3 linked regions of the Mus musculus genome follow. The protein of the gene in region 3 purifies or fractionates together with the protein of the main gene of each other region. This does not show direct contact. Links are inferred from orthologs where the notes say so. Each region holds a gene or a part of one and is shown on either strand. Other genes may lie near its edges. The genes, in order: Stx5a, Stx18 and Sec22b.

What was found.
Region 1: the proteins of Sec22b (region 3) and Stx5a purify together in Homo sapiens (co-immunoprecipitation; 4 studies listed by BioGRID and IntAct, counting the BioPlex papers as one, with this or other methods). This does not show direct contact. The link is inferred for Mus musculus from reciprocal best matches to the Homo sapiens genes SEC22B and STX5.
Region 2: the proteins of Sec22b (region 3) and Stx18 purify together in Homo sapiens (affinity purification with mass spectrometry; 5 studies listed by BioGRID and IntAct, counting the BioPlex papers as one, with this or other methods). This does not show direct contact. The link is inferred for Mus musculus from reciprocal best matches to the Homo sapiens genes SEC22B and STX18.

Annotation. Positions count from the first base shown.
Region 1 is NC_000085.6:8,740,275-8,744,646, forward strand, and holds the start of Stx5a (syntaxin-5), read left to right. Parts: upstream 1-1,528; 5' UTR 1,529-1,998; coding exon 1,999-2,223; intron 2,224-2,579; coding exon 2,580-2,650; intron 2,651-2,696; exon of another isoform or gene 2,697-2,805; coding exon 2,806-2,861; intron 2,862-3,078; coding exon 3,079-3,149; intron 3,150-4,372. Other genes in the region: Wdr74 (WD repeat-containing protein 74), read left to right, coding at 128-304; 1700092M07Rik (testis-expressed protein 54), read left to right, coding at 494-572, 701-882. UniProt on the Homo sapiens protein: Mediates endoplasmic reticulum to Golgi transport.
Region 2 is NC_000071.6:38,037,630-38,042,078, reverse strand, and holds the start of Stx18 (syntaxin-18), read right to left. Parts: upstream 2,850-4,449; 5' UTR 2,748-2,849; coding exon 2,580-2,747; intron 1-2,579. UniProt on the Homo sapiens protein: Syntaxin that may be involved in targeting and fusion of Golgi-derived retrograde transport vesicles with the ER.
Region 3 is NC_000069.6:97,920,523-97,922,967, reverse strand, and holds the end of Sec22b (vesicle-trafficking protein SEC22b precursor), read right to left. Parts: intron 1,853-2,445; coding exon 1,698-1,852; 3' UTR 650-1,697; downstream 1-649. UniProt on the Homo sapiens protein: SNARE involved in targeting and fusion of ER-derived transport vesicles with the Golgi complex as well as Golgi-derived retrograde transport vesicles with the ER.

The sequences.
Region 1 (4,372 bases), on a different chromosome or scaffold from region 3:
TTCCTTGAGGAGTCCTCAAGCCTTTACAGGCTATTGCCAAGGGTGAAGTCCTCCAGAACACGAGGGCATTGGTTTCTAGATTTTCATCCTCTTTCCCTGACTCCTGAATGTCCTTCTTGATCATCAGGATGAGCCCCAAGAACCTCAAGAGCCCAACCAAGTACCCTCAGAAGACACAGAGACAGATGAACTTTGGGCCTCTTTGGAGGCAGCTGCCAAGCGGAAGCTCCCAGATTTGGACCAGACACAAGGTGCTCTCCAAAGAAGGAAGAAAAAGAAGCGGCCTGGATCCACCAGTCCTTGAAGCCCCTTGCTCATGTTGTTAATAAATAGCCCAACGCGCGTACTGATCCTGGACCTTTTGTGATGGGAGAAACGCCTTGTAGGTGGGAGGGGTTCCCTCACCTAGCTGCGGGAGACCTGACATCACAAAAGCTAGGCCCAGAGCTAGGCTGGCTGGGGAGGGTGACAGAGTCCTGCGCCTTTCGGGGCCATGGGCTGCTGTCAGGACAAGAACCGTTGGGCCTCGGATGAGCAAGCAAGGGATGAAGTAACAGAGGATGGCAGGGAAGGTAGGACTAGATACAAAAAACGGGTCTCAGGTCCTGGAATGGGAGCCGGAGGTGCCCCAAAGGGACTGCCCCAGAGGTGGGGCTGGAGAGAACAGAAGTGAATTAAGTGGACCCTGTGGTGCTTGTAGGCAACGAAGTGGACAACTCAGGCCGCCGTAAACAAAGATCTAACGAAAGTCTCCTGATCACCGTGCTGTGGCGCAGGCTATCCATGTTCAGCCGTCGGGAGTCCTCGCGGTCAGGCAAGCAGGACAATCAGATGCAGGAACGCAAACATGAGGGAAGCCACAAGGAACCAGAAAAAGGCTGACTACAACCCTGGTCTTAGTCCTCCCCAACACCAGAGAATAAAGTTAATATTGCGAATCTGCTGAAAACACTTAGGCCTAGGCTTCCAGCTTTAAAGGCTCTGAGACCACACACAGGCTCTTTAAGGCGCCTCTAACCCAGCAGGTCCAGATTTGTTCTCGCACTTCAGGGGCGGGGCCGCGGTGGCAGTCTAACCAATAGGAGAGCGGAGTCGAGTTTGCATGGTAGGGGTGTGTTCTTTCTGTCTCTGGGCTAAAAAAAAGGCGTGGCGCAGCAGCCACGTCACCGAGTTAGGAGTACGTCTAGGTGACGTGGCGGCTCCTGTTCTTTGGTCCGGCTTCCACTGCTTACAAGTCCTTCGAGGAGGCGGCAACGATCTGGGAAGAGTGGCGGTGGTGGTGGCGGTAGGAAACAGAAGAGGTAGGGTTTCGCTTCAGTAGGAGTCCAGCCTCTGTCGTTCGGCTCAGCTCCGGGCAGCGGCTTGACGGGGGAGGGGGGAAGGGAGCCAGGAGTAAGTCCTGCTGGCGGCTCCGCGTAAGCGAATACCTCGCTGTCCAATCAGGAAAGGTCTTGTTAAGGAAAAACTTGGCCCCATCCAATCAGTGGCTGCAGTCTTCCAACAGGCGGAACTTTGACGGAGGTGGGACTTCCTGTTTCAAATAAACACTTTTAAGAGGGTTTTTTCGCCTCCCCCTCCGCCCTCCGAAGTGTGTCCACCTCTGGAGATCGGTTGCTGTTTTCTGTGAGAGGGGGAAGGAAATCACGTATACCAAAGGCAGGATTGAGACCTGGGCTAACTGCAAAGGTCTGCCTGGAAGTTCAGGGCCGCAGGACCAGGCTGTGGCTGTTTTCTCGACTTTAGGGGCCCCGGCCGGAGCTCTGGCAGTCAGAGCCAAGTCGGAAGGAGACTCTGAGGAGGCTTCGCCTTGGGCCTGGAGGAAGCTGACCGTTCTCGCCGTGTCCAGGGTGCAGGATCTGCGGGTGGCCGTGGGCTCCAAAGTCTGTCAAATACGGGAAAGGGCCTGGGGATTTGCTAGTTGAGGGGAGCGTTTGGGGAAAGAGGCTGTCTGGAGAATGACATTCTCCTCTCCACAACAGTCTGAGGTTATGCGACTCGATGATCCCGCGGAAACGCTACGGATCTAAGAACACGGATCAGGGTGTCTACCTGGGTCTCTCAAAGACACAGGTTCTGTCCCCTGCAACTGCTATCAGTAGCAGCAGTGACAGCACTCCTTTGCCCACTCCGGTGGCCCTGGTCCCCTCCCCTCCCGACACCATGTCCTGCCGGGATCGGACCCAGGAGTTCCAGTCTGCCTGCAAGTCCCTGCAGAGCCGTCAGGTAAGAAGCTGGAGTGGAAAGGCAGGCGTGAGCCCATTTAGTTAATGCTTAGGTTTGTTTGGTAGTTGTCTAAACTTAATTTACAACTCTTAGATAGACTAATCTTATCAGTAGGAGAGGAGGAATTGTCTTCAGTAATTTCAAGAATACTTTAAGTAAGTTGCCCTAAATACCACAAAGGATGAGTCAGGATTTAAACCTACATCTAATTTTTTTCTTATCTACAAACCACTGATAAATGTAGATTGTCTGATGTCAACAGCGCTAGAGTGTTTAGTGGGTTATGTGAGGGAGCAGTGAAAAGCTGAGGTAAGTAGTGACAGGAACTAAAGTAGCAACTTTTTGATACAATTCAGAATGGAATCCAAACAAGCAAACCGGCTCTGCACGCAGCCCGACAGTGCAGTGAATTTACCCTCATGGCCAGGTGAGTTGAGAGGGGCGTTGTGGTGGGGTGATACAGTGTCTTAAGTATATCTGCCTGTGATGGTTTGGCTGAGTGGAATTGGTTGTGTTGGAGGTTATGGTAACAGCCTCTTTCCTGCCCTTTACCACAACCTTCTCACTGATGATCATTTGCAGGCGCATTGGGAAAGATCTCAGCAATACATTTGCCAAGCTGGAGAAGCTAACAATCTGTGAGTGTTTGGGAGGCCTTTCCTAGGTGGGACAGTGAAACATAGTACTAGGAGGTGAGGCTCATGGAGGTTTTGTCTTATTTTTTCTATGGTGCTGGGGATTTAAACCAGGGATGTATACCTTAAGGCAAGTGTCTCTACTACTGAACTGTCATCCTAGCTCTTTGAGCCTTGCTATTTACCCTCACCTGTCCTAATGTTTCATCTGTCTCTGCAGTGGCAAAGCGCAAGTCCCTCTTTGATGATAAAGCAGTAGAAATTGAGGAGCTAACATACATCATCAAACAGGTGAGCTGCTAGCCATCAGGAGAGCCCAGCATTCTAATTAGATTACTTCCATCATTTTCCATCGCCATGAATCCCCAGGGTAAGTATCTAGACCCATGTCCAAACACCCTGCTCCTCCATTGAGTCAGTAGACACTTAGGTCATCTAGTATTTATAAAGCACTGTTCTAGATGCTGATGAAACAACTGGGAAGCAAGAGCATTGTCTTCAAGGGCTCATTTTCCTTGAGAGTTACCCAGCATCAAAAGCCTTGGCTTAAAATGAGGTTAGGTGTCAGTATAGAAAAGATCTTACAAAATGATTAATGAAGCAGGATACTGGGAAAGATTGACCAAGGATATGAAATCTGATTTGGACTCAGCTTATGTAGAGGTAGGCTGAGGGGTCTATATGCAGAAATTCAGCCAGATAGTATATGTCTTTAATTTCAGACCTCAAGAGGCAGAGGCAGGTGATTTCTGTAGTGGTAGAGATGTTTTCGTTTTAATCCCAGGTGTAGGTATGTGGGGCTGCTTCTGTCTGTCTGTAGCACCTGATTGTGATTTGCCAGCTACAGATAGTTTCTGTGATTGTGTGATGTTTGGAATTCTGGGAATTTTTCAGAGGGTATATAAATGTTGGGGCCATTCAAGAGGCGGCGTTGGTGGTTATTTCAAGGGGAGTTTAGTAGTCATGCTGGAAGAACTAAGAAAGAAATTAGGTTTACAGATCTCTCTTTTCCCTCTCCCTTCTTTCTCTCCTATTTAGTTGAATGGAGTATGTATATGTTATGGAGGTGGGTGAGGAAGACTGGGAAAAAGAAACCCACAAAGTAGCAAAGGCAAGCTACAGATCTCTGAGTTTGAGGCCAACCTGGTCTGTAATTATGTTGTTTTGTTTTTTTGTTTTTTTTTTTTTAAGATTTATTATATGCTAGTACACTGTAGCTGTCTTCAGACAGACCAGAAGAGGGCGTCAGATCTCATTACGGATGGTTGTGAGCCACCATGTGGTTGCTGGGATTTGAACTCAGGACCTTCAGAAGAGCAGTCAGTGCTCTTAACTGCTGAGCCATCTCTCCAGCCCTGTAATTATGTTTCTTCCCTCCATCCCTTCTACTTTCCAAAAGAAAAGAAAAAAAAGAAAAAAAAATGGGAGCAAAAGATACAGATAGCCCAGAGCAGATTCTTTGTTTTGGTTTTGAGACTGTACTTATATAGCCCAAGCTGGTGTTTTTGTTTAAG
Region 2 (4,449 bases), on a different chromosome or scaffold from region 3:
AAAACTGTGCCGTCCACACACTGCGACAACAGCTTGGCCAGACTCAGACTAGAGCTATGATGACACCTTATTTTCCCATTCTCTTACTTCAACCTGAGACATGCCTCCTTCAACATGATACATGGTGCTCTTAAGCTCTCAACTTTCTAACTCTCATCTCTAGCTCTCCTTCTCCCCTCCCTCCCACCCTGCTTCTCTCCACGTGGCCATGGCTGGCCTTTCTTTTACCCTCTCTCTTTCTCTCTGCCTTTCTACAATAAAGCTCTAAAACCATAAAAAAATGATAAATTGTATGATAAGACATGTTATATATGATATATAAGATGGATCCATTGGCGTTTTAAAGTCTGTTTTGGATAAAAAGAACCATTTTGTAGGTAAATAAGTTCTGCCTAATAGCATGAGTCTGGCTAATAGCTAAAATGGTTAAGACAACACTGTGGTCTCCTGGATCTTCTTCGCTGTCTACATAATACTGGACTTTCTACAGCAGTGGTTCTCAACCTGTGTATTGTGACCCCTTTGAGGGGAGGTTAAATGACCCTTTCACATGGGTCACAGATAACCCGAATATCAGATATTTACATTATAATTCATAACAGTAGCAAAATTATACTTATGCAGTCTCAATGAAAATAATGATTGATGGGGGGGGGTGTGTCACCACAGCATGAGGAACTGTATTAAAGGGCCACAGCATTAGGAAAATTGAGAACCACTGGTCTAGAAGGCAAGGTTCAAACGCTGCAGAGTGATCTGCAAAGATCTTCTAGATTTCCCGCTGGCTACCATAACACTCATTATTTTTCTGAGTGTCCCACATTCTTATTTTAATCAAGCCCAACTTAAGCTACTATCTCATGCCTTTGTGCATGTTGGTCTCTTTTCAAAAAAGATATTTTCTTAATTCATTGGGAATTGCATATGTGTTCGGATCATATTTATCCAGTCCCCCTCTAACTCCTTTCAAATCCACTCTCACCTCTATACCCCCCTACCTTCATGTCCCCATCTCCCCACCACACACCCATTTTTTAAAAGTCCATCAAGTCTAACTGCACTGTCCATGTCCTCCTGACTGTGTGGCCACCCAGGAGCACGGCCAGCACGTGATGCCCTTCCTAGCCTTCTTGGCAATGAAACCAACTACTGTTCTTTTAGAATGGGTTTCTGACATCATTGTCCCATGAAGCCTTTCTCCCAGGTGGGATTAACCACTGTTTCCCTTGTGCCCTACAGAACACCAGCACGGCTCACGGCAGGGCGTTTGTTTATATTTGCATCTCCTCCACCACTGTAACTATAACTCAACAGTGGAACCCTATTACTCTAAAACAGTGCTGGTCAGAAAGTAAGTACTAGGTAGATGTTTACTGTTGGAGGGAGGGGCATTTATCTGGTTCATACAACCTCCTGTGCTTCAACATTATCTGTAAACAGCCATTCATTGACTTGTGCATATATATATGTGTGTGTGTGTGTGTGTGTAATATTTGAGTATTATCTAGTCTGAGGGCCCATGCCTTCAATCTCAGCACTTGGGAGACAGAAGCAGTCACCTTTCTGTAAGATCAAGGCCAGCCTTGTCTACATGGAAAGACCCTGCCTCAAAAAGAGAAATATCAAGCAATGGATTATGTGCCAAGCAGAGGTGAGTTTACTGGAAAACCAATGAAACTTAAAGTTTAGATCCCCCAGATTTGTACCTTTCAATGCTTTGGGCCATTGTGTGTGTGTGTGTGTGTGTGTCTTTAAAAAGACAGGCAGACTGTATATGACCCCCTGGTACTCCAAAAATAACATTTACCCTAGTGTCATAGACACAAAGGGATATAATGCAAACAATCTTTTTTTTTCCTGTTTAGTGGAATCAATAATTGTTCATTCGTTCAACCATTCATTCATTCAAAGAATACTTACTAAGCAATATTGTCAGTAGCACATACAGAAATACTGTCAACATGTTCCTACCCTTATGGAAAAGATTTCTATGTTGGGGACACAGAAGCCGGTTGTGTCCAGAGAACAGGAAGCAGTTTAGAGGACAGTTACAACACTAGTGTTGCTTAAGTGTTGCCGCTCTGAAGGGAAAAGCTTTTACCCTACACTGGTGATGTCCTAAACCAATCTCAGGAGGTACTGAGTCCTACCTATGCCTGGAGGCAAGGATCAAGGAGCGTTCAGCTGAGCGTGGATTTTATTAAACCCTACGAGCAAGAGGAGGTCCAAACAGATTCGTGGAAGGGCGAGGGGAGATAGTGGTGAGCTTTGCGACAGGAAGTGTCAGACTGTGGGAACTCTTGGCGAACTCACTGCCTCAGAAGGTTATAACCTGATTTCAAGGATATCCAAGCACCTCTAACTTACTTCCTTCAGTGCCCAGATATGCGTCCCTTCGTGAGAATAAACCTGTCGCCACCCTGAGCCAGCTGTTAGGTCGGTGAGACAGACTCTCTGTCTTGCTAGAGACTCCCTGTCTTCACCGAGAGCTAAAGAGATAGGCCCAGTTTGGGGTCCAGGGGCCGCGGAGCGTATGCGCCCCTAGCTCCCGCCCGCCGTTCCCATAGCAACCAGCTTACCACTTCACGGGCCCGGCTGGAGAAGTCTCCCTTGGGCCGAGGGCTTCTGCGGAACAGCTCGTCCCGGCTGCCATCGGCCCCGCCACCCACGGCCACTCCCAGAGCCTTATTCCGCGTCTTCACTGTCTTGACGCTAGCCCGGAAGAGCAGTGTGATGTCCACCGCCATAGCGACCCGCAACCCAGGGCCTGAAGCCGGCCAGGCACACGTCAGCAGCTAGCGACCCCGGCAAGAACTCGGTTGCTGAGGGACGTTCCGATTTCGCACTCCTCCGCCTGGGAACTGTGAGCATAGAAGAAAGGTTCCGCACTCCGCCCGTGTAACGCGGAGAGTGGAGAAAGGTTCCGGCTTTAACCCAGAGCCGGAATTCTCCGTTCCAGACAGCTACCCGCAGTGCATCGGCACCCCTTTCTCCTCTCTGCAAAACTCAGCGGGATCAGACGCTCGGAGATTTCCCAGTCTGGACTTCAGGAACGAAAGCATCGGGAAGCTAGAAAGATCGCTCCCCTTATGATTCTTTAGGAGACGGGCGGGCGGTTTGGTTGACAGGTGGGGAGTATCACACTTTTGACTTTTGTCATCAAGGGATCGCCTTGAGTAACAATGAACTATGACCATCTGAGTTGCAGGAGCTAGGAAAGGGTACGTGTACAGAGGTAGGGGCCAGAGACCTTTTTTCTTCAACCTTCAGCCAGTTCGGTAAAGTGAAGCCAGCGCCTTTCTTGGAATGCACAGAGAATTAAACAGAATGTGTGTATAAAACGTCCTCGTGCTGTTTAACTCTTAGTATACAGCTAGTAGATGTTGCCGTTGTTGATAATATGGTTGTCCTCAGTCGTTTTGTTTTGTTTTGTTTTGTTTTGTTTTGTTTTTCGAGACAGGGTTTCTCTGTGTAGCCTTGACTGTCCTGGAGCTCACTCAGTATACCAGGCTGGCCTCAAACTCAGAAATCCGCCTTCCCCTGCCTCCCAAGTGCTGGGATTAAAGGCACGCGCCACCATGCCCTCAGTCTTCTTACTTATAATGTAGAAGAGGCTTAGAGCAGAGATCCCTGAGCGGGGATGTGGAGAGCAGGAACTTATCAGAGCCAGACGAAAGTGAAGCATTCTGAACTTCATGATATCATGTTAGGTTCCTCCTCAATAAGCACTTTTGAAAAGCGCTCTCTTGAATCATAGTTATCAAAGAGAAAGAATGAAATGGAGAACAGAGTTACGTAATTTGACTAAAGTCAGCTAGTAAAATTTTTCTGAGCACTTGGTTCATGGTTCATTTTATTTTTGTGTGCACCTTTCATTAAAAATACAATTATGCCACTTTCTCTCCTTCCCTTTTCTCCCTCCAGCCTCCTCAAGTCCTCTCCCTCCAATTTCTTCCATGTCTCCCAACTCAATCTCAAGTTGATAGCTTCTTCTTCTTTAATTATTATTGTTGCATATATGTGTAAGTATCCATGGATATGCCAGCACAATCTGCTGAAACTGTTGTTATTGTGTATGTGTCTATGGCTTCAGGGATAATCACGTTGTATTGGACAACCAATTAGAGGGTTCTTCCATGGGATAGGCTAACTTCCCTCTCTCAGCAGCCATAGTTGCCTGTAGTTTCTTGTCCAGGAGTGTGACCCCCATGGTTTAGTTTTAGTTCAATATCAATTTCTCTGGGTTTTGTTTTCCTTATAAAAGGAAGCACACTAAGATGTGTGCTAAAATTAGGCTTTTAACAGTCATCAAGATGAAAAGCTAGTTTCATAATAATCCTAGGATCACATTTGCCTTTACACTTGCATGTTCTAATCAGCTGTATGGTTGAGTTTTCCAAGAGACACTGATCTTACAATAAGCTAATTGCAGAGCAGCTGTCTTCCATT
Region 3 (2,445 bases):
ATCCCTACCAGGCTTCTCATAAGGAAGTGAGACTGTTGTCCTCCGCCAGGAATAGGGCAGCAGTGATGATCCCTAGGGTTATAAAACCGCTTACCAAAAGTCTCTTCAAAGATGCTAAGAAATAAGACACTGGCTCGTTTTCCAGTACAATTTAAAGAGATGTTTGCAGTGTGCGCAGGACTTATAGGTTATATTATAGCCCCTTGTGATAATACTCAAAAGGCCTATTCTTCCCACTTATAAAATTCTACCTCAGAAGGTGAAAGGAGATATCCCCATTATCCCTGAGCAAAAAGGGGAAAGAAGACTGATGTACTCCCATTGCTTACAGAAGTCACTGTCCGTGAGTCATTTATATCTAAAACATTCTTGCAGAATTTACATAAGCTGAAACAGAAATGAGGGACTGGCTCTCAGAGGTGTCCTTCATAAGTTATGTGAGTGTTTGTGTCTGAGTAGCTGATCTGCAAAGATAATAAATTTAACTAACTACATTGTTGAGTACATCACATTTGCAATTTGTGAATATCCTGATAGGATATTTATGGGACAGGAGACTATAGATTTAAGCAAATTATGTCGTAAAGAAAACCAAGAATTATGGGAATGAGTGGGTAGGGAAGTGGGGGGGAGGGTATGGGGGACTTTTGGGATAGCATTGGAAATGTAATTGAGGAAAATATGTAATAAAAAAAAAAAAAAAAAAAGAAAACCAAGAATTGGGAACGCATAGACAAAGTGGGAGGAAGGGGCAGGCAGAGTTGGAGCTTTAAGCTGGGCCTTTCTTCTCGTAAAGCAGGGCCTCTGACTACCCTGCGCTACACCAACTCTACAGAGACCAAACAGTCCCAAATAATAATGTCCCAAGAGAGTTAAAGAGTAAACGAAGAGGAAGGTGGATCTTTGTCATTTCAAGGCCAGCCTGGTTCATGAGTTCCAGGACAACTGAGGCTAGAGAGACCCTGTCTCAACAAAACAAAACAAAACAAAACAAACTAACCAAACAAACAAAAAAAAAAACAAAAAGAAAAGAAAAACAAACAACAAAGAGTAAATGACAGAAAAAAAAAATTCATCCTTTTAGTCAAGCAATACTATATAATTTCAAGGCATATTATATAATTGATTTAATTCCAAAGCAACTGTGCAATAAGCAAAATATAAAAGGGAAACAACGAAAGTTAACTTCTTACAATGGCCAACACATAGGATCTGTGCATCATGAACCTTCACATACTGTGTCTCACTTGAAAGTCAATCACACTGCTACCAACACAGGAATGTCGATTAAAGTTAGGACTCCCCAGAGGGCCGCCTTCTTTGACAGAATTTCAGGATGCTGCTAGAATGGGTTGGCTACCTTAAATCTCACTGATGGCTCCATCAGAGAGAGAATGCCCCAGTTCTGCTGCCTCACACATGTACTGGGAGGGAGAGAAACAAAACAGACAACCTACTGTTCCCTAATACATATAGCTCAGCACCCAGAGAAAGTCTGTCCCAGAGAGACTTCCACATGGGTCAAGCTTCCTTAAACGAGGCGCCATCTTTCATTTTCAGGACAGGTCTTTTCTTGCAAGGTCTTTAGAGGCAGAAGTTCCACGTGGATTCTAATACACAGCCCTGTGAGCTCAGTTTCCTGAAAACATACACTGCGGGGTTCTAGGTTCTCCCTTACTAGTGACTAGGTTCACATCTCACAGCCACCAAAACCGCACATACACTATCAGCATGATGAAAAACACAGCTACTGCTGCAAGCTTGGCGTAAGTGGAGCGCATGTTCAGGTACTTCGCATCCTGGCGGTATTTCTTAGATAGACTGGACAAATTGTTAGCCTTTGAATCCAATGCTGAAAAGAAAAAAAAGAGAAAACATTAATTAGACCTGAAGTGGTTTGTCAAAAAAACACTAAGGTGTAAAAATAACAAAAGTGACTGGCAGAATAAACAAATCATGGAGTTTAAACTATGTTTAACAATAAAATAGTAACTGTATTATCAACATTTGATAGGCACACAGACTGCTTTAGAGTGATGGTTTCAGCATATGACCAACGCCCAGTTAGTAGCAGCAGATTTCCCCCACCACCCACCTTCTGCTGTGGCTCCGAGGGTCCTGAGCATGCTGGGCATGCAGAGCTGAGTGCTCCACAGCACCTGGTAGTTGTTTTGCTTCTCTTTTTTAAAGATTTGCTTAGCCGGGTAGTAGTGGCGCACACCTTTAATCCCAGCACTTGGGAGGCAGAGGCAGGCGGATTTCTGAGTTCGAGGCCAGCCTGGTCTACAGAGTGAGTTCCAGGACAGCCAGGGCTACACAGAGAAACCCTGTCTTGAAAAAACAAAAAAACAAAACAAAATTTACTTATTTTTATTTATGTGTGTATGTGTATGCACATGTTTACATGACGCCCTGGAAATGAGAAGAGGGCCTTGGATCTTGCGG